Saccharomyces cerevisiae S288C: one gene and its partners. The protein of the gene in region 2 binds, or shares a complex with, the protein of the main gene of each other region. Each region holds a gene or a part of one and is shown on either strand. Other genes may lie near its edges. The genes, in order: SLA2, ENT1 and CHC1. A codon is read from its position in the direction of its gene.

The links.
Region 1: the proteins of ENT1 (region 2) and SLA2 are in contact, whole or in part, in a cryo-EM structure (PDB 7B2L), measured with the Saccharomyces cerevisiae proteins. Residues at the interface, in NP_010120.1 of Saccharomyces cerevisiae: Leu63 (codon at 2,095), Asn64 (codon at 2,098), Lys66 (codon at 2,104), Gly67 (codon at 2,107), Tyr100 (codon at 2,206), Ile101 (codon at 2,209), Lys103 (codon at 2,215), Thr104 (codon at 2,218), Leu105 (codon at 2,221), Glu107 (codon at 2,227), Arg109 (codon at 2,233), Ile116 (codon at 2,254), Gln120 (codon at 2,266), Arg123 (codon at 2,275); in NP_014156.2 of Saccharomyces cerevisiae: Lys24 (codon at 4,798), Arg25 (codon at 4,795), Lys26 (codon at 4,792), Arg29 (codon at 4,783), Ile32 (codon at 4,774), Val33 (codon at 4,771), Trp36 (codon at 4,762), Asp37 (codon at 4,759), Glu73 (codon at 4,651), Tyr247 (codon at 4,129), Thr250 (codon at 4,120), Leu251 (codon at 4,117), Val252 (codon at 4,114), Thr253 (codon at 4,111).
Region 3: the proteins of ENT1 (region 2) and CHC1 are in contact, whole or in part, in a crystal structure (PDB 9EYT), measured with the Saccharomyces cerevisiae proteins. Residues at the interface, in NP_010120.1 of Saccharomyces cerevisiae: Gly448 (codon at 3,250), Tyr449 (codon at 3,253), Thr450 (codon at 3,256), Leu451 (codon at 3,259), Ile452 (codon at 3,262), Asp453 (codon at 3,265), Leu454 (codon at 3,268); in NP_011309.1 of Saccharomyces cerevisiae: Asp25 (codon at 7,917), Phe26 (codon at 7,914), Arg27 (codon at 7,911), Gln155 (codon at 7,527), Ile157 (codon at 7,521), Ile173 (codon at 7,473), Leu174 (codon at 7,470), Gln175 (codon at 7,467), Ile180 (codon at 7,452), Phe266 (codon at 7,194), Ile268 (codon at 7,188), Lys284 (codon at 7,140), Phe310 (codon at 7,062), Lys326 (codon at 7,014).

Annotation. Positions count from the first base shown.
Region 1 is NC_001146.8:183,308-192,917, reverse strand, and holds SLA2 (Sla2p), read right to left. Parts: upstream 4,868-9,610; coding exon 1,961-4,867; downstream 1-1,960. Other genes in the region: ATG2 (Atg2p), read right to left, coding at 1-1,594; SUI1 (translation initiation factor eIF1), read left to right, coding at 5,422-5,748; U2-type spliceosomal complex subunit CWC25, read left to right, coding at 6,033-6,572; VPS75 (Vps75p), read right to left, coding at 6,569-7,331, 7,427-7,458; CRS1 (cysteine--tRNA ligase), read right to left, coding at 7,740-9,610. UniProt on the Saccharomyces cerevisiae protein: Required for cellular morphogenesis and polarization of the cortical cytoskeleton. It might act in concert with proteins such as CDC42 and CDC43 to limit the region of cortical patch formation to the cortex of the bud.
Region 2 is NC_001136.10:165,806-173,837, forward strand, and holds ENT1 (epsin), read left to right. Parts: upstream 1-1,908; coding exon 1,909-3,273; downstream 3,274-8,032. Other genes in the region: DNA ligase (ATP) CDC9, read right to left, coding at 1-1,449; MHF2 (Mhf2p), read right to left, coding at 3,561-3,803; DExD/H-box ATP-dependent RNA helicase DHH1, read right to left, coding at 4,605-6,125; YDL159W-A (uncharacterized protein), read left to right, coding at 6,377-6,508; mitogen-activated protein kinase kinase STE7, read left to right, coding at 6,676-8,032. UniProt on the Saccharomyces cerevisiae protein: Binds to membranes enriched in phosphatidylinositol 3,5-bisphosphate (PtdIns(3,5)P2) and phosphatidylinositol 4,5-bisphosphate (PtdIns(4,5)P2). Required for endocytosis and localization of actin. Negatively regulated via phosphorylation.
Region 3 is NC_001139.9:99,516-111,351, forward strand, and holds CHC1 (clathrin heavy chain), read right to left. Parts: upstream 7,990-11,836; coding exon 3,028-7,989; downstream 1-3,027. Other genes in the region: chromatin-remodeling protein SPT16, read left to right, coding at 1-2,561; POX1 (acyl-CoA oxidase), read left to right, coding at 8,643-10,889. UniProt on the Saccharomyces cerevisiae protein: Clathrin is the major protein of the polyhedral coat of coated pits and vesicles. In yeast, it is involved in the retention of proteins in an intracellular membrane compartment, presumably the trans-Golgi.

The DNA of each region.
Region 1 (9,610 bases), on a different chromosome or scaffold from region 2:
CGTCTACAAGCTCAATGTACAACTCACGGTTAGAGTCGTAAATGAAGGGTGAAACCTGGAAACATAATAAAAAATATGGAAACTTAAGCGACAACTTCACTGCTTTTGAGGTAAGTTGTACGGTCCTTTTAGTATCCGATGCTATTTGAGGCATCATCCCTTTTGACTTATTCTGATAAAAGGACATACATTTTGAAACAAACTGAAAGATTTTAAAGAAATGCGCAATGCCATCATGACTGATAATAATATCTAGTTCGTCGCCCATATTTAATGCGATGCTTTGAGGGGTTTGTTCTCCAGTGAGCAATGGCTTAGTTTTATGGCTAATTGTCAATGGACTCGAATTAGAATAAAATGAGCCTAAAGAAAATGCCAATGAATTATTTTCCTTTTGCTCTAATTTAAAGCTCTTCAAAATTACTGTGATATCTTGGCCTAAGTTTAAGTATATACATTTGATATCAACAGAAGAAAGAGCTGATGGTTCCTGCTTGTCAGGTGAAGGACTTTGGGAATCCTGGCAAGAAAAGCTTTCATTGGCATCCAAATGTGTAACAATGATATCTATAATATTCTTCAAAGTGGAGTTTTTGATTTCGACAATTTTGTGTATCGCTAAATGAACATCCTGAATATCAATAACAATATTAGACATTCTGAGATCATTGACCGATGATAAACCCTTAAAAGCTATGTTCAAATTATTTATTTCCATTAAAGATTCCTTGCACTTATCATTCTCTTGTTCTTCTTGTGTAACTTGGGGTTCACTGGGGTCTTCATTTGATTGCTCTTCCATGGCGCTCATATAAAGTGAAGTAGCCTCCATTTTTGATAAATAAACGCTTTGTGACAGATCGTCATTATTGAAAGGATGCACAGGAGAGTCGGGTACAGCTTGTTTTTGTATTGAGGAAATGGTGATATTTTCAATGTTTATATGTCGTAAATTTGCGTCTGTAGTAATAAGTTGTATGCTTTCTAGATGAACCTCCACAATGTTATCGGAAGGATCTCTATCATTCACTATGAAACGTATGGTAACGTCCTTTAATGCTATTTTCAATTTCGCTAAGGCTACATTAAGGGCCTTGTTCCGCATATTTTGAAGAGTATAAGAACCATTTGCGGCTGGTTTTGAAGCTTCTATATTAGAGTTGAGATCACTACTACTGTCTGAAGAGCTAATGTCATCTTCTTTGTACCTATTATATGTGGTCAATGGATCACTAAATTGTAACATCGAATTCGTAAGATCTTGGATGCTTTTAACCAAAAAATCTGAGTGAAGTTCCTGTGAGCCACTGGAATATAAAGGTGTCATGATAAATCTTAAACCAGACCCATCGATTTCCACACCGCCAGAAACTGTTAATTTTAACACAAGCTCGTCAACTATGCCTTCGTTTATTTGCACGTTTGGAATGTTGAGATCATCAAGTGACAGATTCACATCATGGAACGAGAAATGTGACTTAGACCCTATAGAAACGTCCAAGTTAGATAAATCTATATTGGAGAACAGCGAAATTTGCTGAAGGACGTAAAGAAGCAGCCGCTTTTGTATATTTTGAGGTAACCAAAATGCCATTGTATCGAAATCAAAAAAAAAAAGGGTTCCTCTTAATTTGCTTTAATCTTTATGCTTTCCTTATTTTAAACGGCAGTAGAAATTTTGTATGAATGGTGAGTTGAAATAAAGTCGCAAAGATTACAATAGAAGCAAAATGGTAGACTCCTACAGAGATGTGATATGATAATAAGGGTGGGGTGTCTGTTCTTTGTTCCTTGCATATTCATTATCGCGATTATTTCCATTCGCCGCACCAAAAAAAGAAAAAATGTCCCCGGACGAGAACGCATATACCAATCAGATACAGAAAAACGTAAAAGACGTCTTCAAATAAATATATTTATATTAACGTTTATCTTTATATATAAAAAGTACAATTCATGATCAATCATCATCCTGGTTATAGTAGGCATGCCTTCTTATCTCGCCCAATCTCTTCCTGGCATTGCTCAAGGATTGTTCTAACTTCAAAATTTCCACTTGCTGTTCCATTTCGGCAGTCTTCAATGTGTGTTCGGATGTGAAGTCCAATGGTTGCTGCTGTTGCGAAGTCGAATGATCATCTTCAATCATACCCATGACGTGGTTACCCAAACTTCTGCATGCATCGGTAACATCTTTGGAACAGTGTTCCAATTTATCTTGGGCCTTCGAGTGGATGGAAGTTTTCACTCTCGATGCTGCTACCAATTGTATTGTGGATGCGGCCACTTCTTTGGAGGCGACGATAAATTGTTCAGGTGATGTGTTTTCATTGTCTTCAGAAGTGATTAACTTACTAGCAGTAGTGATTAAAACATTGGTTGCACCTGCCACAGCCTTTGCCGCGGAGATCAAACCTTCTGTCCATCTGCTGTTTTTCAAGTAGAATTGGTTCAGAGGAATACTTGTCGTGGTGGCAATTTCATTTTGGCACTGAATAGCAGCCTTTACCAAAGCCACAACAGCATCAATAATCATTAATGCCAATGACAACAATGGTTTAGGAACGTCAACACGTAAGTGTTCTGAGGATTTGACAATTTTGTCAGCAGTGGCAACCAATTCAGAATGTGGGTTCGTTTCTTTATTTGATTTGACAGATTGTATGTTCAATAACGGTTCGATAGCCAAAGATAGCTCTTGCAACTTCTCTTGCATGTCCACGTTGGCATTGATGACGATATCAGTTTTCTCCTCATCACCGACCTGGTTAAGATTTTCAGACATCAAATCCTCGAAGAAATATTGGGCCTCTCTGGCACATCTCTTCACCAGGGTCAAAATTTGATCAGACTGTTCTTGAGGTAATGTAGTAACGGCGTACGCCTTTGAATTGGTCACCAGTGTAGCCATCGAAGTACTGAAATCACTAACGCAGTGTATGACCTCTGTTTGGTCGCCGTGTGCAAGGCCGTCTACTATCAAATTATTGAAACTGGTGGCAAACTCAGTGGCGTTTTCAGAAGTACTTTCCAATAAGGACAAAAGGAAAGTGGGTGGAGTCAGCGGACCCGACCAACTCAAAGGAGAATCGAGATTATAGACCGATTCCTGGATGGTGTTGATACCGCTTTCCAATATGGCATCCAGAATAGGGTTCATTTTATCCTGAGTCATTGTTTCTGCTGCTGCTGTCGCCGCTGCACTGTCCGCCTCTGCATTATTAATGGATCTTTCTAATTCTAACCTTGCCCTGTCACGGTCCTTAACCAACTCGGCCATTTGCAAATCCTTTTGCTTCAATTTGTGTTCTAACTGTTCCTTTTTCTGAATGGATTCCTGCGCACTATTCACCTTTAACTGCAGTTTTTTAAAACGAGGTAAAAGATTTAGATGCTCTTGACGCAACTGGGAGTATAGCTTGGCTAAAGACTCATATTTTCTTTCCCAAACATCCAATTGATCCTGCAATGCAGTTAGTTGCTCGTCCTTATTAGCCAATTGTTTGGAAGCTGTAGAATCCATCGTTGTGATTTCACTTTCCAGCTGCTGCACTCTTTGGTCATATTGCTGCAATAAAGCCTGGTCCTTTTCATATTGATTGGTGAGGGCAATTAAATCGTTTTGATGTTGGTTTTGTTGTTGAAGCTGCATATTCATCATATCCTGTTGTGCTTTTTGTAACTGCTGTTGAAACAGTTCCTGCTGTGCCTGCTGTTGTTGCAACTGTTGCACACGCTCTTGCTCGAGACGGTTTTGCTCGTTCGCAAACTGGGCTTGTTGATTGGCCCAGAAGTCCGGCTGCATTTGTGCCGTCGCCTGTGGAAAAATGGCGTTAGCTGCACCAGTGGCAGTGGGGATCATCATCCCAGTGGTGGCACCCGTCGGCATAGTTTGCAAGTAACCCGTAGGCGTCGAAGTAGTCCTTTGAGATACCGGACGTGGGGAAATAGCCGGCTCAGCAACAACAGGTGGTGTTGGTGTTGGAGTCCGTGCCGGCGTCCGCGCTGGAGTTACAGAGGGCTCTCTTTTTTTGAACTTAATCTCTTTTGACTCGTCCACATCGTTGATTAAAAATACGTCTGGAGCGTCCACGGGTAGTTTTGGAATGGTTACTAACGTGGTCAAGTACTTCACAGAAGAGCAGTCCGCGTAAAACTCAAACAGCCTTGCATGTTGCAACTCGTACCGTTCTTTCAAGGGCTGCAGAGCAGCGTCACCCTCCGCATCATTCAATTGCCTGTGCATAGCTCTCAGCATCGAGGTGATGAATTTATAAATACCATATGACTCCGCAATCAACGGGATCAGCGCCGAAATTTTGCACTCAGTATTTCTCCTCTCGGACTGAATCGACGCAAAGATGATCTGCGAGAACTCGTCAAGAGAATCCTGTAACGACATCAAATCTAAGATCGTCTCGTACCCTTCGTCCGGGTCGGAAACTGAAACCAGTGACACATACTCCTCGTACTCAAACGTCCCGTTGTTAAACCCTCTATGGTGCGCATGAAAGTCCAGCTTCAAAACCAGGTACCGCACATACTCCCGAATCAGTTTGCTGTACGACGAACCGCCAGAATGTACCCTACCCAGAGATCTGATCCAGTCCCTATCCCGGATGGCCTCAGCTAGCGCTGACGGATGTCCCTCTTGTATGATCTTATGCAGTACAATAAGCATCTTGAACAGTTGCACTTCGTCATTGGCCAGAGGCAGCGTCTTAAGGGTTGTAAAAACAGCTTTGGAAGACTGATGGTCCCATGTGTACACTATGCATGCGCGTACGTGCTTTCTCTTAGGTGCGGTCTCCTCAACGGAACACGCCTTTTTAAGCGCTTTCTGCAGATCTGAATCTATTCTGGACATCCTGTTCTAGCTGCTAGTACTATCACTACTACTGCTATGGCTGTATTACTAATATTTCTATTGTTTCACTATTCTTTATATATATTTATATATGTATATTTTCCAGCAAAACACCCTTTTTGGCATTCTCCTATAGGACGTCAAACGGCGCGCGACCGCGTCATTTTATACGAGCAGCCGCTGCGTCGTCGTACAAAACGCACCGACCTACATTACAATAAAAAGTACCCGTAAAAGGATCATGTGTACATGGTTCCAGTCTTTTGGTTCGGTACTATAACTACTGTAAACGACCCTCTCACTGCAGTTTATGATATGTGATCGCGTTAAAAATGGGTATTATCACCAATAACGGGTCGGGTAACAGATTTTTTCGATGCGCCGGCAAAAAATTTTAGTTTTTTTTTTTTTCATCACAGGGATAAAAGCAAACTGCAAAAGGACAAAACAAGAGAAGAGCTACTTGTTGTTTTCGTTTCGTGCTGGGGGTTTTCTCCTTTCTATTCTTTTTCAAAAAAGACAAGGAATATATTAATATAGCTGAAGCAAATCGTATGTCCATTGAGAATCTGAAATCATTTGATCCTTTCGCCGACACAGGAGACGACGAAACCGCCACTTCAAACTATATTCATATTCGTATCCAACAGAGAAATGGTAGAAAAACTTTAACTACGGTGCAAGGTGTCCCAGAGGAATATGATTTAAAGAGAATTCTTAAGGTCCTAAAGAAGGACTTTGCATGTAATGGTAACATTGTCAAGGATCCAGAAATGGGGGAGATTATTCAGTTGCAGGGTGACCAAAGAGCAAAGGTTTGCGAATTTATGATCTCCCAACTGGGATTGCAAAAGAAGAACATTAAAATTCATGGGTTTTAAGTTCAAGGCTTACGCCGAGTCGCTTACTCGCTGCTCGCTTTCTTTCTTAGTGTTGTTATCCTATATAAAACGTAACTGTTTAGTTATTTAAGTCCAAGTGCATATTTACACTATAATATATAATATAACATCTCATCTTTTTTTATTTCTTTTTCTTCTTCTCCCGCCGCGGGCTTACATACAGAGATATAAGAACAAGTGGTACGTAGCATGCAGCTTCTCAAAAGAGATGAGCGTTCAGTTTTGAGTACAGGGAAGAAAGGCCAAATCGAGAGTACATTATCATGGGGTCGGGCGATTTGAATCTGTTGAAATCATGGAATCCCAAGCTTATGAAAAATAGAAAAAAAGTATGGGAGACCGAACAGGATCTAATTACCGAACAGCAGAAGCTTAACACGCGATTGAAAGAAATTGAAAAAGAACGAGAACTAAATGAACTGCTGAACGAATCGAGCAAGGATAAGCCGGAGACTCTCAAGAATGACTTGGCTTTGAAGAAGTCGGGCTTGGAATGGATGTATCAGGATGCAAAACTGAGTGACGAAAAGGAAGACTATTTATTAGGTAAGAAAAAACTAGATTCATCTATACTAAACCAACCTGCAACACCGCCTGTAAGGGCGGCCACTACTATTTCCGCTTCTGGTGCCGCAACATCCATAAGTTCGCAGAAGAAGAAGTCAAAATTGCTTAAAGATGATCCAATGAGTAAGTTTAAGGTAACTAAACAACAAAGAAGAACTCCAGACTCAACAAAAAAAAGAGCAATGTCGCAACGAGGGAAACCGTTGTCCAAGCCCGCTCCGGACCTAGACTACTAAACTTTCCTTTTCTTAGAGCTTGGTTCCTCGTCGGATAGTGGCAAGTCCACCTCACCGAGACTGCCATCGTCATCCTCGCTGTCGCCATCTGCGCTTAACCCGGATTCTCCTTCTTCGTCTTCCAAGTCCCTCTGGGCCTCAGCATAGTACTTCACACAAAAAGGGTAGATCTCTTCACTGAACAATGACGCCAATGAGTCGCCGTGCGGGAACTCCTTCCCGGGTTTTAGGCCGGTCCATCTGAACCAGCCAAATATGGTTTTCATTCCCTGTCTGTACTTTTTTTTACCCTCTGGACTGCGTTTGTCTTTGATCAAGTCCGGGTTTATCGAGTCGTAACTCTGGGGCCACTCAATTGGAACGGGCTCACTAGTCAGTATCCCGTCTTCTTGGTCATCTTTGCCTTTTTTGATTTGGAACACCTTGGTGACTTGCTGCTCTTTGAAGTCTCCCTCAATTCCATGGAAATGGAATGTTATACTAAAATCTCTAGTGTCGTACATTTCAGACTCCAATGCCAGCCATTCTACTTTGATCTTATCTATAGTGTCAATGTATTTAAAATCTGAAGCCCTTATGTAATTCGCAAAACTAACGTGTTGTGAAAGCACAATTTTCCAGAACTCTGCAATTTCGTCAATATACGCGTCCCTCTTTTCATAAACAGGCTTCATTTTGTTCAATCTGTATAATTCTACCTCACGTTCAATAGCGTCCACTTCTTCTTCGCATTTAGCCAATCCTAAGAATGCTTTTGCACTGACCATCTACCGCACTTGCTAAGTGCATATTGTTAGTATAATGGGTTGCTTTATTTTTCCATTTCATGCCCTGCAGAGCTCAATCCTACATACTGCTCGTTCTCGTTTTCTTGGTCACTCATCATTGGCAGTGTTATGCTTCGAAATGTTTGTCGTCAACATCAAGCGCCTAATCATTAGGATGCTTTTCTTCCCTTTTCTCACAAGCGCAGTGTTTGATTTTTTCAATTTTTTCCGCCTGGAATTTTTTCACATTCCAAAATGAAAAGTACATATATAATACAATTAATTATATTAGTTTTTTCTTTCCTCCTTTCCTTTTTCACTATTTTAACGTAAAAAAAGATGGTATATACATATATACGTACTTTTGAATAGTTGCACACATAACGAAGCCACGAGTATTCTATTTGTCTTCACCAAAGTACTCTTCATGTAGCTTCTTTTGTTGTTCCCATTGCTTCTTCAACTTCTTGGTCATACTCTTGGTGATATCATTACCGTCTTTGTCCTTTGTTGGAAGGCCTTGCTCGTCCCAAGCACTGTACAATGTGACATCCTTGAACATATCTTGTGGTTTAATTTGAGCTTTCTGCTTCCTCTCGTTTTCCTTCTGCTCTCTTAATTTCTGCTGTTCCAATTTCTTTTGTTTCTTTGCTAGTTCGTTGGCATGTTTCTCCTCGTTTAGCTTGACAATTTCCAATTTTTCATCGTTAGTCAAAAATTTGATCAAGGCAGATTGTCCATTCCTATCATCCAAGGCAACATTCAAGTTTAGCAAATCTTCGTTTCTAATTTTATCCGTTAATTGCAAGAATTCCTTGGGTTCGGCTTTCTTGATAGCTAAGGAACGTACATCATCTCTAAATGTGGATAAACACTTAACATATGGCATAACAGTGTCTTCCAATGAGCCTAGGGATCCATCGTTGGAGCCAGCTTGGGCTGCCCAACCCAAATTGTCAGGACGGGATGGAAATCCAATTATTCTTAAGATTTTGGTGATGTAGCTACAGATAGCAATCAAGGGCTCAATTTTTAAAGCAGCACCTGCAGTGGTAATGTATGTGTTTGACTTGGTCACTAATTCGCTCAGTGTCTTCAAAGCAACAGGTGTGGATAAATTATCACAGAACGCCGAATGGACTTTCGATTCACTTTCAACAAAATCAGCCAATAATTCTTTCTCTAAGGGACTAAACTTTTTAGAGATATGACCTGCAGAAGCTGCATCGTTCTTCAATGCTCTAATAGTCTTAAAAAAATTGTTCATGGAGTTTTCAAATGACTTTACTTCATGGATCAAAGATTCCTTGAAATCCAATTGATTGTTCCATTGTACTGAGGCAAAAGCCAATCTTAATTGGCGCGGTGAGAATTTTTTCAAAGCTTCTTGAATGGTAATGAAATTCTTTAAGGATTTAGACATTTTTTGACCCTCAATATGTAAATGGCCCGTATGTAAGAAATAGTTGATCCACTGTTGATTGTCGAAGCGAGCCTCGGATTGAGCCAATTCGTTATCATGGTGAGGAAAGGCCAAATCGATGCCACCTGAATGAATATCGATGTTAGAGCCTAGGATATCACTGGCCATCACAGAACATTCAATATGCCATCCTGGTCTACCCTTACCCCATGGTGATTCCCACTCAGGTTCACCTGCCTTGGAAGCCTTCCATAAAGCAAAATCATTATTCGACTTTTTTCCGTTATCAGCAAAGTTGCTTAAGGACCCTTCACCATCATTAATTAAGTCTAACTGGCCCTTATTCCATGGCTGGCATTTAGCATAGTCATGATTTGGGGATTTGTCAAATTTTAAAGTATCAAAGTACACGGAACCGTCGGAAGTGGCATATGCGTAACCATTATCAATAATTTTTTGAACAAAGTCAATAATTTCTGGAACGTACTCAGAAACACGAGTTGTAACGGTGGGAGGTAGCACGTTTAATGATAACATGTCATCATTGAATTTCTGTTCCCAGTAAGCTGGAAGTTGGCGGAAAATCTCTGGATTGCTAATGGTAGAGCCCAATTCTTTATCCAATAGAGGAACCGTAACGTCCTTGACTTTTTCAAAGGCAACTTCTGCGTCCATGGAATCGCCCTTAGTGATTGATTCAATAGCATTTTGAACTGCGGTGACATGCATAGGGAATTTAGGATTCTCCAATTTTAAAGTTTCAGTATCAGCATTCGATAACCAAGTTTCAAATTCTTCGATAGTTTTGATCTCGCTGCCTTGAATAGTAAAATTTTTGTTGATATATT
Region 2 (8,032 bases):
AATTTTCCCCTGATCTTTGTCCCAAGCAACAGCCTCACAGTCTAGAATTAAATTTTTGGTAGTATCCAAATCCTGGATAAAATCCGTTATGTTAATTTCTGGATATCTCTCAGTCATATTCTCGCCATTTCTGGAATAAATCCTCATTGTACCATCATTTAGTAAATGCACCTGAGCCCTTTCACCATCGTATTTGTATTCTGACGTAAAAGTTTCGCCTTGAAATCTATCCAATACTTCATTAATTGCCTTGGTAGGCTTGGCTAACATGGGTTTCAATGGAATTCCTGGTCTTAGAGTACAATATTTATCTAAATTCATAATACCGTGTTCCAGGCATGAGTTTATAACAATTTCATAGTTGGGTACTTGACAAAATGCGTCTCTTATCTTTTGTTGAGCACTTTCTAACACATCCATGGGGACATCTTTGTCTGGAGAGTCCTCCCTATTTTCATCATGGAGCAAAAGAGCCTTCGATAGGGATATTAAGACAGTCTTTTCAGCAAGACCGATTCTCAATTTTGACTCTAGGGATCTAATCAAAAACTTAGCCTCTATACCTTTGCAAGCAGTAAGCATTCTCTTGATCAGCTTCATCTTTTTTAATTGTGAATCTTTGCCCTGAGTCTTAGCAATAGCTCTAAGATTTTTGAAGACCTCACCCACGGTCAAGGGTTTGGGCTTAAACATAGTGGGTTGGACATTTCTCGCACCCATTGCTATTTCACCCAAATCCCCAATATCCTTGTATTTAAGTTTAATTTGGCTCATGGATTTCCCGCAAGTTTCGCTTATGGTTTTCATAAGAAGATTTTCTCCAAGGCCTAATTCCAAGCCTGCTTCGTAGTCAGGGCCCAATCTATTGATGAAAAGGTATGTTGTAGGTATTAAGTTCTTAGACGATTGCTTCATTATCTTAATAAAGAAATCAGAACAGATTCTTATAATCTCTAAACGGGAAGATATGGCCTCAATCTTGTTAAAAACCTCACAAACTTCAGAATAGGGGATATTAGACGAATAGTGATCATTATTATTTGAGCTCAAGGCGTCTTCAACTTCACCTACCAACCTCTGAGATTGTTGCGGTGAATCAGCAACACCGGAAGAGGGAGCGGATGATGGTATAGAAGAAAAATTGCTACCCATGGAGCTTGGAGCTGCTACAGTATGTGTAACAGCCGTCTGTTTCAATTTCTTGGTCGCGTATTCCTCTTCCCCACTAACATTATCCATTCTATCTTCCAGCATATGTTTGGATGATTTTTTGGGAGAAGGAGTACCTTCTGTTGGCTTATTTTTCATGGAAGTGAAGAATCTAGCCAAAGTGGCTTGTTTAGGCTTCTTACCGGCAGAGGAAGGTAATGAGGATGACATCAATAATGGCAATCTTGATTTCAAGGGACGTGCAGATGAAAGAAGGCAACCGGTCAGTAATCTGCGCATGTAATTGATGAACAATGACGTTAAAAGCTGCTCTAAACCTCCAAAATCATTACTTTTATTTTTGAACAAAGTACAGCGAGATGCAAACGCATGGCTTATTGCAGCTAAATTTCACTTTCACGCGTTTTCGCGTTAAGGTGAAAAATTCCATCAGCCATCTCAAGTGGAGGAACACATCGAAGCGAGCAAAAAGATGACAGAGTTAAACAGCAATAGAACCAGCGGCTGCAGTACGAATTCCTATTGCAAGTCTTACGGAAGGTTGGTGGGGCCTTATGTTGTTCAAAGTACTTGATTTTGGAAGTATGGTTGTCTGAAATTGTGGCTACGTATAGAGAATCATCCGGGTAATGATGAAAGTTTCTTTCAATGACAAATAGGAGTTTTAAGAAGTAGAAGAAAGAGCCGTTCGTATGAGTGCCAGGATCAGAAGGAAAGGGAGCAAGAGGCAGAACAATCATGTCGAAACAATTTGTTAGATCTGCGAAGAATTTGGTGAAAGGGTACTCTTCTACCCAGGTCCTGGTAAGAAATGCAACGTCAAACGACAATCATCAAGTGTCCAAGGACTCGTTAATTGAGCTGGCTGAAAAATCATATGATAGCGCAGATTTCTTCGAAATCATGGATATGCTGGACAAAAGACTTAACGACAAGGGCAAATACTGGAGGCATATCGCAAAGGCATTGACAGTAATAGATTACTTGATCAGGTTTGGTAGTGAGAATTGTGTTCTTTGGTGTAGAGAAAATTTATACATCATCAAGACATTGAAGGAGTTCAGGCACGAGGACGATGAGGGCATAGATCAAGGTCAAATCGTTAGGGTCAAAGCAAAAGAATTGACTGCATTACTATCTGATGACGAAAGACTGAACGAGGAAAGGAACATGAATATCAAGGGAAGAAACAGGAAAGGAAGAAGAAGAAGGGGAACTGGGCGCAGTGATGAAAATGACGATGATTTGCAAAGAGCCATTAGTGCTAGCAGGTTGACGGCGGAAGAAGACGAAAGAAGAAGAAAACAGGACGAGGATTATGAAACAGCTTTGCAGTTGAGCAAAGAAGAAGAGGAGCTAAAAAGATTGCAAGATTTACAAAGAATGCAACAACAGCAAGGCCAACAACAATTGCAACAACCTATGTATTATGATATTTTTGGTAACCCAATCACTCCTGAGGAATACGCACAATTTCAATTGCAACAACAGCAACAACAGCAACAACAACAGTTGCAACAACAACCAATGTACTACGATGTATTCGGGAATCCTATAACACCCGAAGAACTAGCACAGTTTCAACAACAACAACAACTACAGGAACAACAGTACTTAGCTTCTATGCAACAGCAGCAACAGGCAATGTCCAACAATCCATTTGCCAAATCAGAACAGAGCTCAAGTTCACCAAAACGGAACCAACTAGTAGCAGCTTCTTCTCCACAGCAACTGCAACAACAAAAACAACAAGAGCCATTGATTCAAAACAGGACAGGCAATCAATCAATGACAGACAAGTATAGTAAACTAAACGAGCTACTAGCCACAGGAACAGGTATTGATACATTCGGAAATGTAGGGGAGGCTCGTATTCCTGCCCAACATACGAAGACAGGAACATTCATCAATTCTCAAGGAACAGGATATAGGCAAGTATCGGATGATCCAAACCACAATCCGTTTTTGAACAGTCAGTATACAGGTTTACCAAGCACTAGCGTCGTACCAACACAAACAGGCTATGGCTTTGGTAACCAGTCTCAACAGCAGTCTCAAAATAATGGCTCAAATAACCGGGGATATACTCTAATTGATTTATGAAGTGATTCTGTCATTCCAGTCCGCATTTCTAATCAGATGAGCATTTTCTCGCATCGCATAATATATATGGACTAAGTAATTTAATCATTTCACAGCGCGTTTTGATGCAAGCGTTTAGTATAAAATGAACTGTATATTTGTATATGTGAGCGCACGATCGCTCCAAAAACTACTTTAGTAAACTAACGTAGTTCAGGACGACTGAAAGAAAATATAGTGCTTTAAATTTATCAGACAACCAGGAATGTCTTATGTCTTTACATGGATGTAATGTAAGTTGAATACTTTTACATATCCATCAGAAGAAGCCCTACGATACGCTCTAAATCTTGATGCGATAACTCTAAGGGACTTTTATCGCCACGTTCTCCGTTAATGTCCTTGTGAGATTGCAAGGACCGCAGCACCGCCTCATCAATGAATATATCCAAATATTTCTGTATCATTGGTACTACTTCATCGGCAATTTTCATATCATTACCACCTTCATTTTGGCTGAGGATTTTTATTAACGCTTCTTTAGATAACATCACCACAATTACTGTGCTCTGTACTCATGTCCTTTCTAAGTGCAATAATGTAAATTCTAACACGCTTTTATGTATGATTGATTTTTGATATTTTGGCCCGAAAGATAATTCTGGTCTCCCGGAAACATGAAGATGCAGCAAAGTAAAAAATAATAGGTAAAAATAATAAAAATACATGTATCTTTTTGGTTGGTTAATTTATCTAAACAGTTTTATATATATATGTATATATATATATATATATACACAGTATTAATATTCTTTCCTTGAGATTACTCTCTATAAAAAAAAAAAAAAAAAAGCTTTTAAAAAAAAAAAAACTCAAAAAAAGAAAGAATATTCAAAGAAAGTTTCATCTTGTCAGTTGAAATGAATAGTTTATTGTGGAAATTATAACAATAAAAGTTAGCTAAAAGCGAAAGTGTCGATGAAACTGGGCAAGTGCACTTGAGCTCTTGATATGGACGGTAGTATTGGTTACAACAATGACTGGTAAAAGAATGAAGTGGTTTGAGATAATTTTAGAGAAACAAAAAGAAATAACAAAGTGATAGTAATAAAAACGGTGCGCAAATGAGGATAAAAAAATCAGCACAGAAACTAGAGAAAACGGATAAAAAAATAAAAAAGCAGAGACAAAAATTAAATTACGACTGATTCTTGTTCAAAATCAATAGTAAAAGTATGGTTACAAAGTAATGTAATTCACAATGGAGATTTGAAAAAAGATAAAAATAATCGACGATTAGATCACAAAAAAAGCGTATCTCACCACAGTAGTTATTTTTTCTTAGATATTCTTTAATACTGGGGTTGTGACTGACCAGGTGGCATCGCCATGAAATGTTCCTGCTGTGGAGGATACCCCTGCTGCGATGGCATTTGCGGTGGAGGATACGCCTGTTGTTGCTGATGCGAAGGAGGAACCATGAATTGTGGATGATGTTGCTGCGGAGGAATAGCAAATTGTTGCTGAGATGGTAATTGTTGCTGAGGTATCGCTTGTTGATGATAGCTCTGTTGCTCTATCGGGAATGGGACAGGTACCGTTTCGTCATTTTCAGCCACATACAATGACTTATCGATAGTGGCCGGAATAGCCGCAATTTCAGTGCCCAGTTCTTGTTCGATTTTATAAAGGTTAAACCGATCATTCCAGTTAATCAAATTGATTGCTAAACCCAAGTGGCCAAACCTACCGGATCTACCAATACGATGTAAATATGTTTCTGCCGTTTTGGGGAAATCGAAATTGATAACGACATTAACGGCTTGAATATCGATACCACGGGTCAATAAATCGGAGCAGACCAATGTACGAACCTTACCTTGACGAAATTCGTGGAAAACTTTATTTCTTTCTTGTTGCTTCATTCTTGCATGAGAGTAATAACAGGAATAGCCTAAATCAGTGATTTTCTTGGCTAGTAATTCGACACGGTTAGTAGAATTACAAAAAATAATGGCTTGATTAATTTGAAGCTTAGAGAATAAAGTATTTAAACAATGTAGCTTTTGTCTTTCTTCAACAAAGGCGTAGTATTGAGTAATACCCTTTAGAGTCAATTCTTCCATCAAATTAATTTCATAAGGCTTATGCAGATGTTTAACCATGAATTCCTTAACCGTTAGTGGGAAAGTAGCGCTAAATAATAAAGATTGGTGAGTTGGAGGTAAGAAGGATAAGATTTGTTCAATTATTGTCTTGAAGTCACGAGATAACATTTTATCGGCTTCGTCCATGATGAATAATGAACAATCAGACAGATCTGCTACTTTTCTCGAAGCTAAATCCAACACTCTACCAGGAGTACCAACCAAAATATGGACTGTTTCATTTAATCTTAGAATATCGTCTCTCAAATTGGTACCACCAGTGGTCACCATACATGAAATACCACAGTGTTTTCCCAATGTACGGACGACTTGGGAAGTTTGCAGAGCTAACTCTCTTGTGGGAACCATGATCAAAGCCTGAATTTTATTCAACTTTGGTTTGACTTTCTCTAACGTAGGAATAACAAATGCGGCTGTCTTACCTGTACCATTCTTTGCTCTGGCCAATATGTCTCTACCAGTTATTGCTACCGGAATAGCCTCTTCTTGAATAGGGGATGGTTTTTCAAAACCGGCTTCAAAAATACCCATTAACAGCTCTCTTTTCAAATAAAAATCTTCAAAAGTATTACCCTTTGTATTTAAGACATCATCTGTCTGTGGTCTGGTATCCTTCTTGGGAATATTCAATGCAGTTTTCCAGTCCCGATCGAGATCCGTATTACTGTTATTATTAGTGTTGAAGTTATTATTGATGGAACCCATTACTACTATTTTCTTTCTTGTCGTATTTTAGGCCTGGGATAAGTTATTATGCGAATGGCGATGCGGTTATGAAGAAATAAAAGGGCTAAAAGTAAGAATTTTCTGCGTCTATCTTTCTATTAGGAATAAAATATGACTATATTTACTATTATTGTTGTTTTGTCGTACAATCCTTTATGAATGAAAATATTAAGCTTGTGGTCTTAAAAGAATGTGGATGAAACAAAACTGAATCCAATGATGAGAAATAAATGTACAATCAGATAATAAACACTTTTATTGATGATTGTCTTTTCTTGCAAACCCCAATGTTACAATCGCCCATTAGTTCTAAGATTGTGTTGTCCTTTTTCTTACGAAATTTTTTTCCCTCCCTTTTTTGATCACTGTCCTCGTTATAAGTGATTCGTGGGGTAACGGCGATATCATACTATTATTGGCCCATCTGATGGATTAGAAGACCTACAGGTTAATGTGAAGCGACACTAATGATAAGAAAACTGCATCGGATCATATCTGTTTTTGCAGCGTGGTATATTGGTTGTTGGTCATGTTTCAACGAAAGACTTTACAGAGAAGGAACTTGAAAGGGCTCAATCTTAACCTGCACCCAGATGTGGGCAATAATGGCCAATTGCAGGAAAAGACAGAGACTCACCAGGGACAATCTCGAATAGAAGGCCACGTGATGTCTAACATTAATGCAATACAGAATAATAGCAACCTGTTTTTGCGAAGAGGCATAAAAAAAAAACTGACGTTGGATGCGTTTGGTGATGACCAAGCTATATCGAAACCAAACACTGTGGTAATACAGCAACCGCAAAATGAACCTGTTTTAGTTCTGTCTTCTCTATCACAATCCCCGTGTGTATCATCATCATCATCTTTGTCCACGCCATGCATTATAGATGCGTACAGTAATAATTTCGGATTATCGCCATCATCCACGAATTCTACTCCCTCTACGATTCAGGGATTGTCCAATATTGCAACACCAGTTGAAAACGAACATTCGATATCACTACCACCTTTGGAGGAAAGCCTATCGCCAGCCGCAGCAGATCTGAAAGATACGTTGTCGGGAACTTCAAATGGTAATTATATACAACTCCAGGACTTGGTTCAGTTGGGGAAAATTGGTGCTGGAAATTCTGGAACTGTGGTGAAGGCACTACATGTTCCTGATTCCAAAATAGTTGCCAAAAAAACCATTCCTGTGGAACAGAATAACAGTACAATCATCAACCAATTAGTTAGGGAATTATCTATCGTCAAAAACGTTAAGCCCCATGAAAACATTATCACCTTCTATGGAGCTTATTATAACCAGCATATAAATAATGAAATCATAATTTTAATGGAATACTCTGATTGTGGTTCTTTAGATAAAATACTGTCCGTTTATAAAAGGTTTGTTCAAAGAGGGACTGTTTCGAGTAAGAAAACCTGGTTCAACGAATTAACAATATCAAAAATAGCGTATGGCGTACTAAATGGCTTGGATCATTTGTACCGACAATATAAGATCATTCATCGTGATATCAAGCCTTCCAATGTTCTGATTAATAGTAAGGGGCAGATTAAGTTATGTGATTTTGGAGTTTCCAAAAAACTAATAAATTCTATCGCTGATACATTTGTTGGAACGTCCACTTATATGTCACCAGAGAGGATACAAGGAAACGTTTATTCTATCAAAGGGGACGTTTGGTCATTGGGCTTAATGATCATCGAGCTGGTAACTGGAGAGTTTCCCCTAGGTGGGCATAACGATACACCTGATGGCATATTGGATTTGCTGCAACGTATTGTCAACGAGCCTTCACCAAGATTACCCAAAGACCGTATCTATTCCAAGGAAATGACAGATTTTGTCAATAGGTGTTGTATTAAGAATGAAAGGG
Region 3 (11,836 bases), on a different chromosome or scaffold from region 2:
TCCTGTCCGTTTCAAGTAAGGGGTCGGACAAATTTATGGACCTTTTATCCAATGAAATGGTTCGGGCAGTTGACGAGGAGTTGAAAATCACCAATGCCAAGTTATCAGACAAAATTGAAAATAAAATTGATGATGTGAAATTTTTGAAGCAATTGAGTCCCGATTTAAGCGCATTATGCCCACCAAACTACAAATTCAACTTTGATTTATTGGATTGGACCTATTCTCCAATCATTCAGTCCGGGAAAAAGTTTGATCTTAGGGTTTCTGCCCGTTCTACCAATGATCAGTTGTACGGCAACGGTTGTATTTTAGCTTCATGTGGTATTCGTTACAATAATTATTGTTCTAATATTACTAGGACCTTTTTGATCGATCCATCTGAAGAAATGGCCAACAACTACGATTTTCTATTAACTTTGCAAAAAGAAATTGTAACTAACATTCTGAAGCCCGGCCGTACACCAAAAGAAGTTTATGAATCAGTAATAGAATACATCGAAAAAACCAAACCTGAACTAGTGCCCAATTTCACCAAAAACATTGGTTCATTGATTGGTCTCGAATTTAGAGATTCTAACTTTATATTAAATGTTAAGAATGATTACCGTAAAATCCAACGCGGTGACTGCTTTAATATTTCGTTTGGTTTCAATAATCTGAAAGATTCTCAAAGTGCTAACAACTACGCTTTACAATTAGCTGATACGGTTCAAATTCCTCTCGATGAAACAGAGCCTCCACGCTTCTTAACAAATTACACCAAAGCCAAATCCCAGATATCATTTTATTTCAATAATGAAGAAGAAGACAATAATAAAAAGAAATCTTCACCTGCCACCAAAGTCCCTAGTAAACCAGACAGAAATTCCAAAATTTTAAGAACAAAGTTACGTGGCGAAGCCCGTGGTGGTGCCGAAGACGCTCAAAAGGAGCAAATTCGTAAAGAAAACCAAAAGAAGCTACACGAAAAATTGGAAAAGAATGGATTACTCAGATTTAGTGCTGCTGATGCCAATGGCCCAGATAGTGAACCTCGTCAATACTTCAAAAAATATGAATCTTATGTTCGGGATTCACAACTACCAACCAATATTCGTGATCTAAGAATTCATGTCGACTGGAAAAGCCAAACAATTATTCTACCCATTTACGGTAGGCCAGTCCCATTTCATATAAATTCATATAAGAATGGTTCTAAAAACGAAGAAGGCGAATATACGTATTTACGTTTGAACTTTAATTCACCGGGATCTTCTGGTGGTATTTCTAAAAAAGTGGAGGAATTGCCGTATGAGGAATCAGCAGACAATCAATTTGTACGTTCGATTACACTAAGATCCAAAGATGGTGACCGCATGAGTGAAACCTTTAAACAAATTGCAGATTTGAAAAAAGAAGCCACAAAGAGAGAGCAAGAACGTAAGGCGCTTGCTGATGTTGTTCAACAGGACAAATTGATTGAAAATAAAACTGGAAGAACGAAAAGACTGGATCAAATTTTTGTGAGGCCAAATCCAGATACAAAACGTGTACCTAGTACTGTCTTTATCCATGAAAATGGTATCAGATTTCAATCCCCACTAAGGACTGATAGCAGAATAGACATATTATTCTCAAACATTAAGAATCTAATTTTTCAATCTTGTAAAGGTGAATTAATTGTCGTCATTCATATTCATTTGAAGAATCCAATTTTAATGGGTAAAAAGAAAATACAAGACGTCCAATTCTATCGTGAAGCTTCTGATATGTCCGTCGATGAAACTGGAGGTGGAAGACGAGGTCAATCCAGATTCAGAAGATATGGTGATGAGGATGAGCTGGAACAAGAACAAGAAGAAAGAAGAAAACGAGCTGCGCTTGATAAAGAATTTAAGTATTTTGCAGACGCAATCGCAGAAGCATCAAACGGTTTATTGACGGTGGAGAATACATTTAGAGATTTGGGCTTCCAAGGTGTCCCAAATAGATCGGCAGTTTTCTGTATGCCAACTACAGATTGTTTAGTTCAATTGATTGAACCACCATTTTTGGTGATTAACCTAGAGGAAGTCGAAATCTGTATTTTAGAAAGAGTTCAATTTGGTTTGAAAAACTTCGACATGGTTTTTGTTTATAAAGATTTCAATAAACCCGTCACTCATATCAATACAGTTCCGATCGAATCTTTAGATTTCTTGAAGCAGTGGTTAACAGATATGGATATTCCTTACACTGTCTCAACAATCAATTTGAATTGGGCAACTATTATGAAGTCATTACAAGATGATCCATATCAGTTTTTCTTAGATGGTGGTTGGAATTTTCTGGCTACTGGTTCAGATGATGAAGCATCTGATGAAAGTGAAGAAGAAGTTAGTGAATATGAGGCTTCAGAAGACGACGTAAGTGATGAAAGCGCATTTTCTGAAGATGAAGAAGGATCAGAGGTGGATGACGATATTAGTGGTGATGAAAGTGAGGACTATACTGGCGACGAGAGTGAGGAAGGTGAAGACTGGGATGAATTAGAGAAAAAGGCTGCTAGGGCTGATAGGGGTGCAAACTTTAGAGATTAGACTTTATAACACTTACTGGGTTTCACCAGCAAGACCTTGATCTGACAGAAAATTACTCTTATGTATCTGAAAAATAATGATGGTATTTAGGCATAGTATTTATCAATGCTAAGAAATGTAAATGGACTGAATGTACACTCAATGCTAACGGTCAAGGTCATAGGACGTTTGCGTAATAAAAGAAACTCTACTAGAGTTGAACATAATTTGATATAAAAGTATATAAATTGAAAAGGCAGTTTCAATCATTTTAGTTTCTGCAATTTATTTATTCCTGTAATCTACAATTTTATAGTTGGGAAATTCTCTCGAAAATATTAAGAAAAATACAGAACTCATAAGGTCTTTTTTATTGGCATTTTGAAATCCCCTCAGATAATCAAAGATGCTAACAAACAAAATAATAACGGTAAAAAAAAAAAAAATACACGATGGGGTACAGCAAACGAATTATTTTATCCACGTCTTAAAATCCTGTGGGTTGAACGTTCATCGCGCTGTTCATCAGCATCAAAGGTTGGCCATCTTTGTGCTCTTCATTAGATCCGGACTTTTTAGCGAGTTCTTCGGTGATTTTCTTAATGGAATCATTCTGCTCTTTTTTTATGGAGATTTCAAATGGCTTAATGTAGTCCTCCAAAGAATTCATCCATGATATTTCTAAAACAAATTCAATTCTCACTAAGTTGTAAGCAGCATATAGCAAAGCAACAAAGCCTTCTCTGTTACCGGTTTCAACGAAATATGTGAGTAGAGCCTCCACTACCTTTGGATCCTGAGAGATTGCTGCCGTCTCAATAGCGTCCTTCCATAGCTTTTCTTCCTTCAAGATTGAAAGACTCTTTGCCCACTTCTTATTTCTACGGTATAACAGGGCTCCTATTTTCTTGAAAAAAATTAGCTTATGAGATTCCAAACGAGATGCCAATCCCAATTGGTCAAATTTGTCATAAGAATCAACAGCGTCTTGCAAAGCTTTATAATCTTCTTCTTCAATCATCAGATCGTGGTAGGCTTGGTTGACAACTGAGTTATTTTTTGGTAAGACATTGATCAAGAAAGGCTTGATTAAAGGCAAGTTGTCGGATTTCGAGAAAATTTTGACAGTTCTTGGAATATCTAATCTTGGTGTCAATGAGGTCAAAAGATCAACTAGTAATGATGGGTGAAATTTGACGTAGAAATTAATGGCCTTGTAATAGATTTCTAAGTTAGAAACTTTGACAACAACTTCTTTGAAATAGGCGTGATCCAAGTCTTTGGTTGATTTTTCGATTAGTGTTAAAGCAGCATTATCCCATTCATCATAGTGAGCATATAAAAAGACCAATTCCGACCAGAGGTGAGCTTGTTCGACAGCTCTAATAACCTTTGGAATATTTATTCTGGACCAGAATAGCTTCAAGTGTTCGAAGGTCTTGTCTGGTTCATATTTGGAATACAAAATGGCCAATTCAGTGAACATGCCCATATGAGCTCTTTCAAGTCCCAAACCAGCTTCAAACAATGAAATCAGTTCTTCGAAATAGCCGTTTGATTCATACCTTTCCACCAGTTCATCTAATTCTTCAGCGTGAACGATCAAGTTCAACCCACAAATTTGAGCCAGCTTGAATTCTTTCTTTTCAATACAAGCGTCGTTAACCAGTTTCCAAACTTTAATGTTTGAAGCCTTTCTAGCAGTGTCAACAGCAGCCTGATAATCTCCCAGGTAAACCAAGGTAGAAGCAAGCTTGGAGTAATTAGAAACAGCAGAATAACATAGCCTGGCCGCTTTATACTCTTTATTCTCGAATAATTTATCACCAACATGATCTAAGTTTGCAACATTGGAACCTGCCAACAAGTTCTCAATTTCATGAATCTTGTTTAGTTCAGCATAGGCCAAGATTAAAGCACCGTCGATCTTTGGTTCTTTCAAAGTCTTTCTAGCCATTAGTAAAAATGGAATTAATTCTTCGTATTTACCGGCTTGTTCGGCTATATCAATTACATTTTCGTAATTTGATGGGTCTTCTGCTTTAATATAAGACTCAATAGCATCTGGGATTCTTAATCCATCTAACTGAGCCGTACCAATTTGAGACCACAATTCGGGAGTATTGATTTTATCAGCATAAGAAGCAGCTCTATCTAAAGACATGATGTCTTCGATTAAAACCTTTAAAGCTTTACCGTACATTTCATGTTTGTCATAGATTTCAAAAGCTTCCTCCTTCAAATCATGTTCAATACATAATGGAGCAATTTCATCGGCGTCGTAGTTATCTAATTTTTCGATATAGCTTGAAACCTTAGTTGGTTCATACTTAATAGCAGACAATAATAGCAACCCTTGTAAAGCCACATTTTCGTTGAAAGGAGAAGGTTCCAATATGATTTTTTCTAGCAACTCAATTAGTTCCAGTTTTAATCCATTGGTCATGAATGCTTGAACAGTTAAGGAAACAGGTTCAGGATCAGTTAATTCAGGGATACCAACGGAGATGACCGAATCAATTAATTGTCTTCTGTGAATATTTTCTTGATTCAAAACTTTGTTCCATAAATCGAGATCAGAACGTTCCAACAAATATCTTGCCTGGTACTTGTACATGCTATTTTCATTAGTGATTCTAATCAAGTCATCATCATTTTGACCTTTTTCATACGCAATATATGCAAGGTAGGGATCTCTTTTTTCGCAGTAATGACCAACGTCTAAGGTGTCATATTGGTCGTTTTCCTTCAAAAACTTTTCAGGAGAATTATTGGAATCAATATAAATTTTTGCTAAGGCATTGTAAACAGCTTGATCCTGGATACCTTGACTTAAGCTTTGTTCTAGGAAAGGTAGCAATATTTTTAGTCTATTTCTCTTTTCAACCTCAGTAGTTAATTCATTAATAGGGACTTGACCTAAGACTGATTGTAGCAGACTTTGAATAAATGCCTCATCACAGTCCATATCAAGTAATGCGCCAACAACTTGGGCAGTCTTTGAAGGGTTAACCTGCTGCACGTAAGTTTCAATAAATTTTAAGTTCTGTGATTTGTACAAATATAAAATCATTTCATGAACAAAGTCGAAACGGTCACAAACTATGACTAGAGGCAACTGGTCTTCTAGATTGGCATCCTTCAAGAAATTCTTGACTCTTTCTGGATCATAGACATTGTTATCCTTCACAATTCTTTCAATTTCTCTGTATTGTTTCATTTTAGCAGCAGCTTCAATGTATTTGTAAACCACATCTTTATCTTCGGTTAGGTTGACTAAAGAGGCTAAGTAATAGTATAAACCTTCCGTAGCATTATAATCTTCGAATAATTTAATCAAAGTAGATGGACCGATCAAATCAGAGAATTTAGTTGCCACCTGTACTACGGTCTGGATGTTAGCCTGAATATTGTTATCCATTAAAGCTTTTAAGCACGCCAAAGATTGTTCAACGTTCAACTTACCAAAGTATCCGACTAACCAATCGATAGGTAATGCATTGGTGTGGACAACGCATCTCTTGATATCTTTGATGTCTGTGTAATTTTCTAAAGCTCTCTGGTATAGTCCCGCCTTTTCGGATAAGGAAGCAATAGTTGGTTTGTCATAATGAGAAAAGATGTTGTTTCCCAATATGGCGTCAGCAACTTGTGGTGCGTGTAGTAGATTGACTTCAAGAACACGAGTTTGCAAGTGACCTTGGTCTGGGGTATCTCCTTTTAACGCGTCTAGAAGTAGAGAGGTTCCTTGTTGGATATGGTTTTGGGAAAAGAATAGATCTGCGATTTTTTCTATGTCGATCTGAGAAGCAGTTTCCGGATTTTGTAATAGAGATACGGCAAATTCAGAAGCTCTGTCTGGTGATGATCTAATCAAAGAAGAAATCAGCACTAAAAAGTTAGGTTGATATCCAACCTTTTGGCAGTAAGGAATAATTTTTTCAAACTGTTGTAATTCGGCAAGACAAGATATAACTTTTGCATGGGCACCTGCTCTTAAGTAGCAAGCTAGCGCTAAAGTAGTATCGAAAGGCTTAACGATGTCACCTAGTTCTTCTGAACATTCTAGTTTATCTTCCTTTAACCATTTTTCGAACAATTGTTTTCTGTCTTGTTGTAGAACTGGTCTAGCCAATTCAATTGTTTCCTCTTTATTCAATTTCCCTTTATCCAATAGTGTTGAAAAGTAAAGTAGGATAGGAGAAATGGCGCCTGGTGGTGCTTGAATGTTTTTCAACCTGTTGATGGTGTTTTGGTTCCTTAAAGAAGTGGAAGAGGCTGCAACTTTAGCTGCATTTTGATAATCGTTTTGTAACAATAAAGATTCAAACTGTTTTTGAAATAAATCATCTGCACCTGGTAAGCCACCTCTTGTAGCAACGATTAAGGCCAGTGCCACATTAGATAATTTATTCAAGATATATGGAACGATTTGAGAAGTAGAAATCTCTACTGCTAAAACTTGACCTTTTTTATTGATGCATGCAATACCGTTCTCGTGATTGTACGGAGCTGCAGTAAAAACAGATTCTGCTGTAATTCTATTAACGAATAAATTGGTACCGGTTTCCAATTCGTACAAATGGATGAAGCCATACTTGGTTAATAGGTAAATTATGCCGTATTTCTCAGACACCTGAACAGCGATTGGGAAATCATTCGTTGCATCTGGTGGAAAGAAAATATCGGTAGTTTCCTTTTGATATTGAGAAGGCAATGAAGCATCGTGATCAATCTCGATAATTCTTAATTCTCCAGCACCGGTGGTGGCATTTCTGTTACCAGTAACGAAAACTTGTACCGGGGTCGAGCCATTACCCTCTAGTAATATATTCGTAAAGATAGCAACATGACCGTCGATAGCTTGGGAGATGTTACGTTGTTTTGAGAATAATTGAATTCTACCGGCAATACGGCCATTTTCTTGTAAGATACCAACAACTGCGAACCAGTCAAGGTTTTTGTTAGCCACAAAATTGATAATTTGGGTATTGTTCAAGTTAGCGTGTCTCAAGGTAAGCAATTGAGGCTTAGCATTTACGTTACCATCAAAGACGTTCGAGGTCAGTATGGATCTTGCGGTAACAAAACCCAAAGTGGTTTCACTCAACCACCTCCAAAAAATAACAGGTTCATCTAAAGTAAAAGACTTTAACTTGCTCTTAGTTTCCAAATTAAATATCTGCACGATAGTACCATTTGCTCTAACGGAAATAACCATCTGAGATGGATGCATGATAGCAGAATCACCGCCCATATTCTTCCTTGTCACTTCATTGCCTTTGGCCAAATCCACGATTGCAACAGAGTTTGTACCGTCCTTTGTTTCTCTAACAGTGACGAAGTGGTCACTCTCGAAAGTAGTTGATCTGAAGTCAAGGAATTGAGGGGAAATTCCTAAGGACATCAGATCGACCAATTCGGTAAATTCAATGGGTAGGTCACTCATTGGTTAGAACTTTCGTGATAATTTATTTTTATAGTTGAATATCTTCTTTCTCTCTCAACTCTGATCCGGATTGTCGAGGTTTCAATAAGTTACTCTGAACAACTAATCAAAATATCTCCTTATTTCTGTAGATTCCTTCAGTTCCACTTTTTACTTTTCTTAATTCTCTTTGTATTTATTCCTAGCGACGAAAAATGCGAGATCTCGACCAAAAAAAGGGGGTAGGGTAATAAAATTAACCCTATTATTTTTTAACTTTAAAACCTATAATGTGCTAATATTTTATTATAAACCTCCTTTTTTTGCGTTCAAACCCTGACACATTTTAAGCCCTATATTTACGGTATTAGTTGATTAAACTCCGAAGCGAAAGGAATTCGGTCATTAGCGGCTAATAGCCGTTGGGGTAAATCACCTACAAGCAAGTACACAAGAGAACGTTGGCGTTGTTAAGTCAAAGCACTAATACATTGGGGCTTTAAGAGTGTTTATAAAGGTCTAACCTGTAAAAATTATTTAAACAACTTGAACAGGCCTTAAAGTTTTCCTCATTCCGCTCATCATCACTAATATTGCTCTCCGTTTTTGAATACACACTTGACACTAATAAGTATCACAGAAAAAAAGAAAATATAATAAATTAGTATTGCGATATGACGAGACGTACTACTATTAATCCCGATTCGGTGGTTCTGAATCCTCAAAAATTTATCCAGAAAGAAAGGGCGGATTCGAAAATCAAAGTTGACCAAGTTAACACATTTTTAGAGTCATCCCCGGAGAGGAGAACTCTGACGCACGCCTTAATAGACCAAATAGTGAATGATCCTATATTGAAAACTGATACGGACTATTACGATGCTAAAAAAATGCAAGAGAGAGAAATTACTGCCAAAAAAATAGCTAGGCTTGCTAGTTATATGGAGCACGATATCAAAACAGTGCGCAAACACTTTCGCGACACTGACCTGATGAAAGAGTTGCAAGCAAATGATCCAGACAAAGCTTCGCCTTTAACAAACAAAGACCTTTTTATATTCGATAAGAGATTGTCACTTGTAGCAAATATTGATCCTCAATTGGGTACGCGCGTGGGTGTACACTTGGGGCTATTTGGTAATTGTATCAAGGGCAATGGTACTGATGAGCAAATCCGGTATTGGTTGCAGGAGAGAGGTGCCACTTTGATGAAAGGTATATATGGCTGTTTTGCAATGACTGAGTTAGGACATGGTTCCAATGTTGCCCAGCTGCAGACTAGGGCTGTGTACGATAAGCAAAATGATACTTTTGTAATTGATACACCTGATCTAACTGCCACCAAATGGTGGATTGGTGGGGCTGCCCATTCTGCCACGCACGCTGCCGTGTACGCCAGATTGATCGTTGAAGGTAAAGACTACGGTGTAAAAACATTCGTTGTTCCTCTGAGAGACCCTTCGACTTTCCAACTGTTAGCTGGTGTTTCCATAGGGGATATTGGAGCGAAGATGGGTCGTGACGGTATTGATAATGGCTGGATCCAGTTCAGAAACGTAGTTATCCCTAGAGAATTTATGCTAAGTAGATTTACCAAAGTTGTCCGTTCTCCAGATGGTTCAGTCACCGTCAAAACTGAGCCACAATTGGATCAAATTTCTGGTTATAGTGCATTGTTAAGTGGTAGAGTTAACATGGTCATGGATTCATTTAGGTTTGGCTCCAAATTTGCTACTATTGCTGTACGTTACGCGGTTGGTCGTCAGCAATTCGCACCTAGAAAGGGATTGTCTGAAACACAATTAATCGACTATCCCCTTCACCAATATCGTGTTTTACCACAATTGTGTGTTCCATATTTGGTGTCACCTGTAGCTTTTAAGTTAATGGACAACTATTATTCCACTTTGGACGAGTTATACAACGCTTCCTCATCTGCATACAAAGCTGCTCTGGTTACCGTGAGTAAAAAGTTGAAGAATTTATTTATTGATAGCGCCAGCTTGAAAGCCACCAATACTTGGTTAATTGCTACACTGATTGATGAGTTGAGACAGACTTGCGGAGGACATGGGTATTCACAGTATAACGGATTTGGTAAAGGCTATGACGACTGGGTGGTTCAGTGCACATGGGAGGGTGATAATAATGTTTTATCTTTAACTTCAGCAAAATCAATATTGAAAAAATTTATCGATTCAGCCACAAAGGGTAGATTTGACAACACACTGGATGTGGACTCATTCTCTTACTTAAAACCTCAGTACATAGGATCTGTGGTTTCTGGAGAAATAAAGAGTGGTTTAAAGGAGTTGGGTGATTATACTGAAATTTGGTCTATCACCTTAATCAAATTACTGGCACATATTGGTACTTTAGTTGAAAAATCAAGAAGTATTGATAGCGTTTCTAAGCTTTTAGTCTTAGTATCCAAATTTCATGCCTTGCGCTGCATGTTGAAAACCTATTACGACAAGTTAAACTCTCGTGATTCACATATTTCCGATGAAATTACAAAGGAATCTATGTGGAATGTTTATAAGTTATTTTCCTTGTATTTTATTGACAAGCATTCCGGAGAATTCCAACAATTCAAGATCTTCACTCCTGATCAGATCTCTAAAGTTGTGCAGCCACAACTATTGGCTCTTTTGCCAATTGTGAGGAAAGACTGTATAGGTCTGACAGACTCCTTTGAATTACCTGACGCGATGTTAAATTCTCCTATAGGTTACTTTGATGGCGATATCTATCACAATTACTTCAATGAAGTTTGCCGCAATAATCCAGTGGAGGCAGATGGGGCAGGGAAGCCTTCTTATCATGCGCTGTTGAGCAGCATGCTCGGTAGAGGTTTCGAATTTGACCAAAAGTTAGGTGGTGCAGCTAATGCGGAAATTTTATCGAAAATAAACAAGTGAGTAGAGGTTTCCTGTTTTCCTTCGAACCCTCTGTTTTGCGACTTTTGTTTCAATTCAACTAGTGTCGCCAAGTTTTAACAAAAAGTTACAAAATCCTAGTGAGAGGCCATCTTATGTGCATAACGGTACTCTCTATCTATTTACATATCTAATACTATTCACATAACTATGACGAATCAATGACATGACTACATTTACCAATGTATAGTAGTAAAAAAATTGCCATCTCCTAGAATCGAACCAGGGTTTCATCGGCCACAACGATGTGTACTAACCACTATACTAAGATGGCAGGTAATTATTGAGTGTTTACTCAATATCTCAGAATTATATACATAACAAATAATAAATGTGCTGTGTTGGCACTTGTTGGAATGAAGCTCTAAAACATCATGATGATTGTGTGGATTCTGATGTAATTGTTGGGATTCCATTTTTAATAAGGCAATATGTTGGAACGAGAGTAATTAATAGTGACATGAGTTGCTATGGTAACAATCTAATGCTTACATCGTATATTAATGTACACATCGTATACGTTTAAGTGTGATTGCGCCTATTGCAGAAGGAATGTTAAACGAGAAGCTCAGACAATACTGAAGCTGTGTTAAAGACCTATTAGCTGAACATGATATGGTAGGTACATATATGAGGAATATGAGTCGTCACATCAATGTATAGTAACTACCGGAATCACTATTATATTGGTCATGATTAATATGACCAATCGGCGTGTGTTTTATATACCTCTCTTATTTAGTATAAGAAGATCAGTACTCACTTCTTCATTAATACTAATTTTTAACCTCTAATTATCAACACAATAATATTAGGTATGTAGATATACTAGAAGTTCTCCTCCAGGATTTAGGAATCCATAAAAGGGAGTCTGCAATTCTACACAATTCTATAAATATTATCATCATCGTTTTATATGTTAATATTCA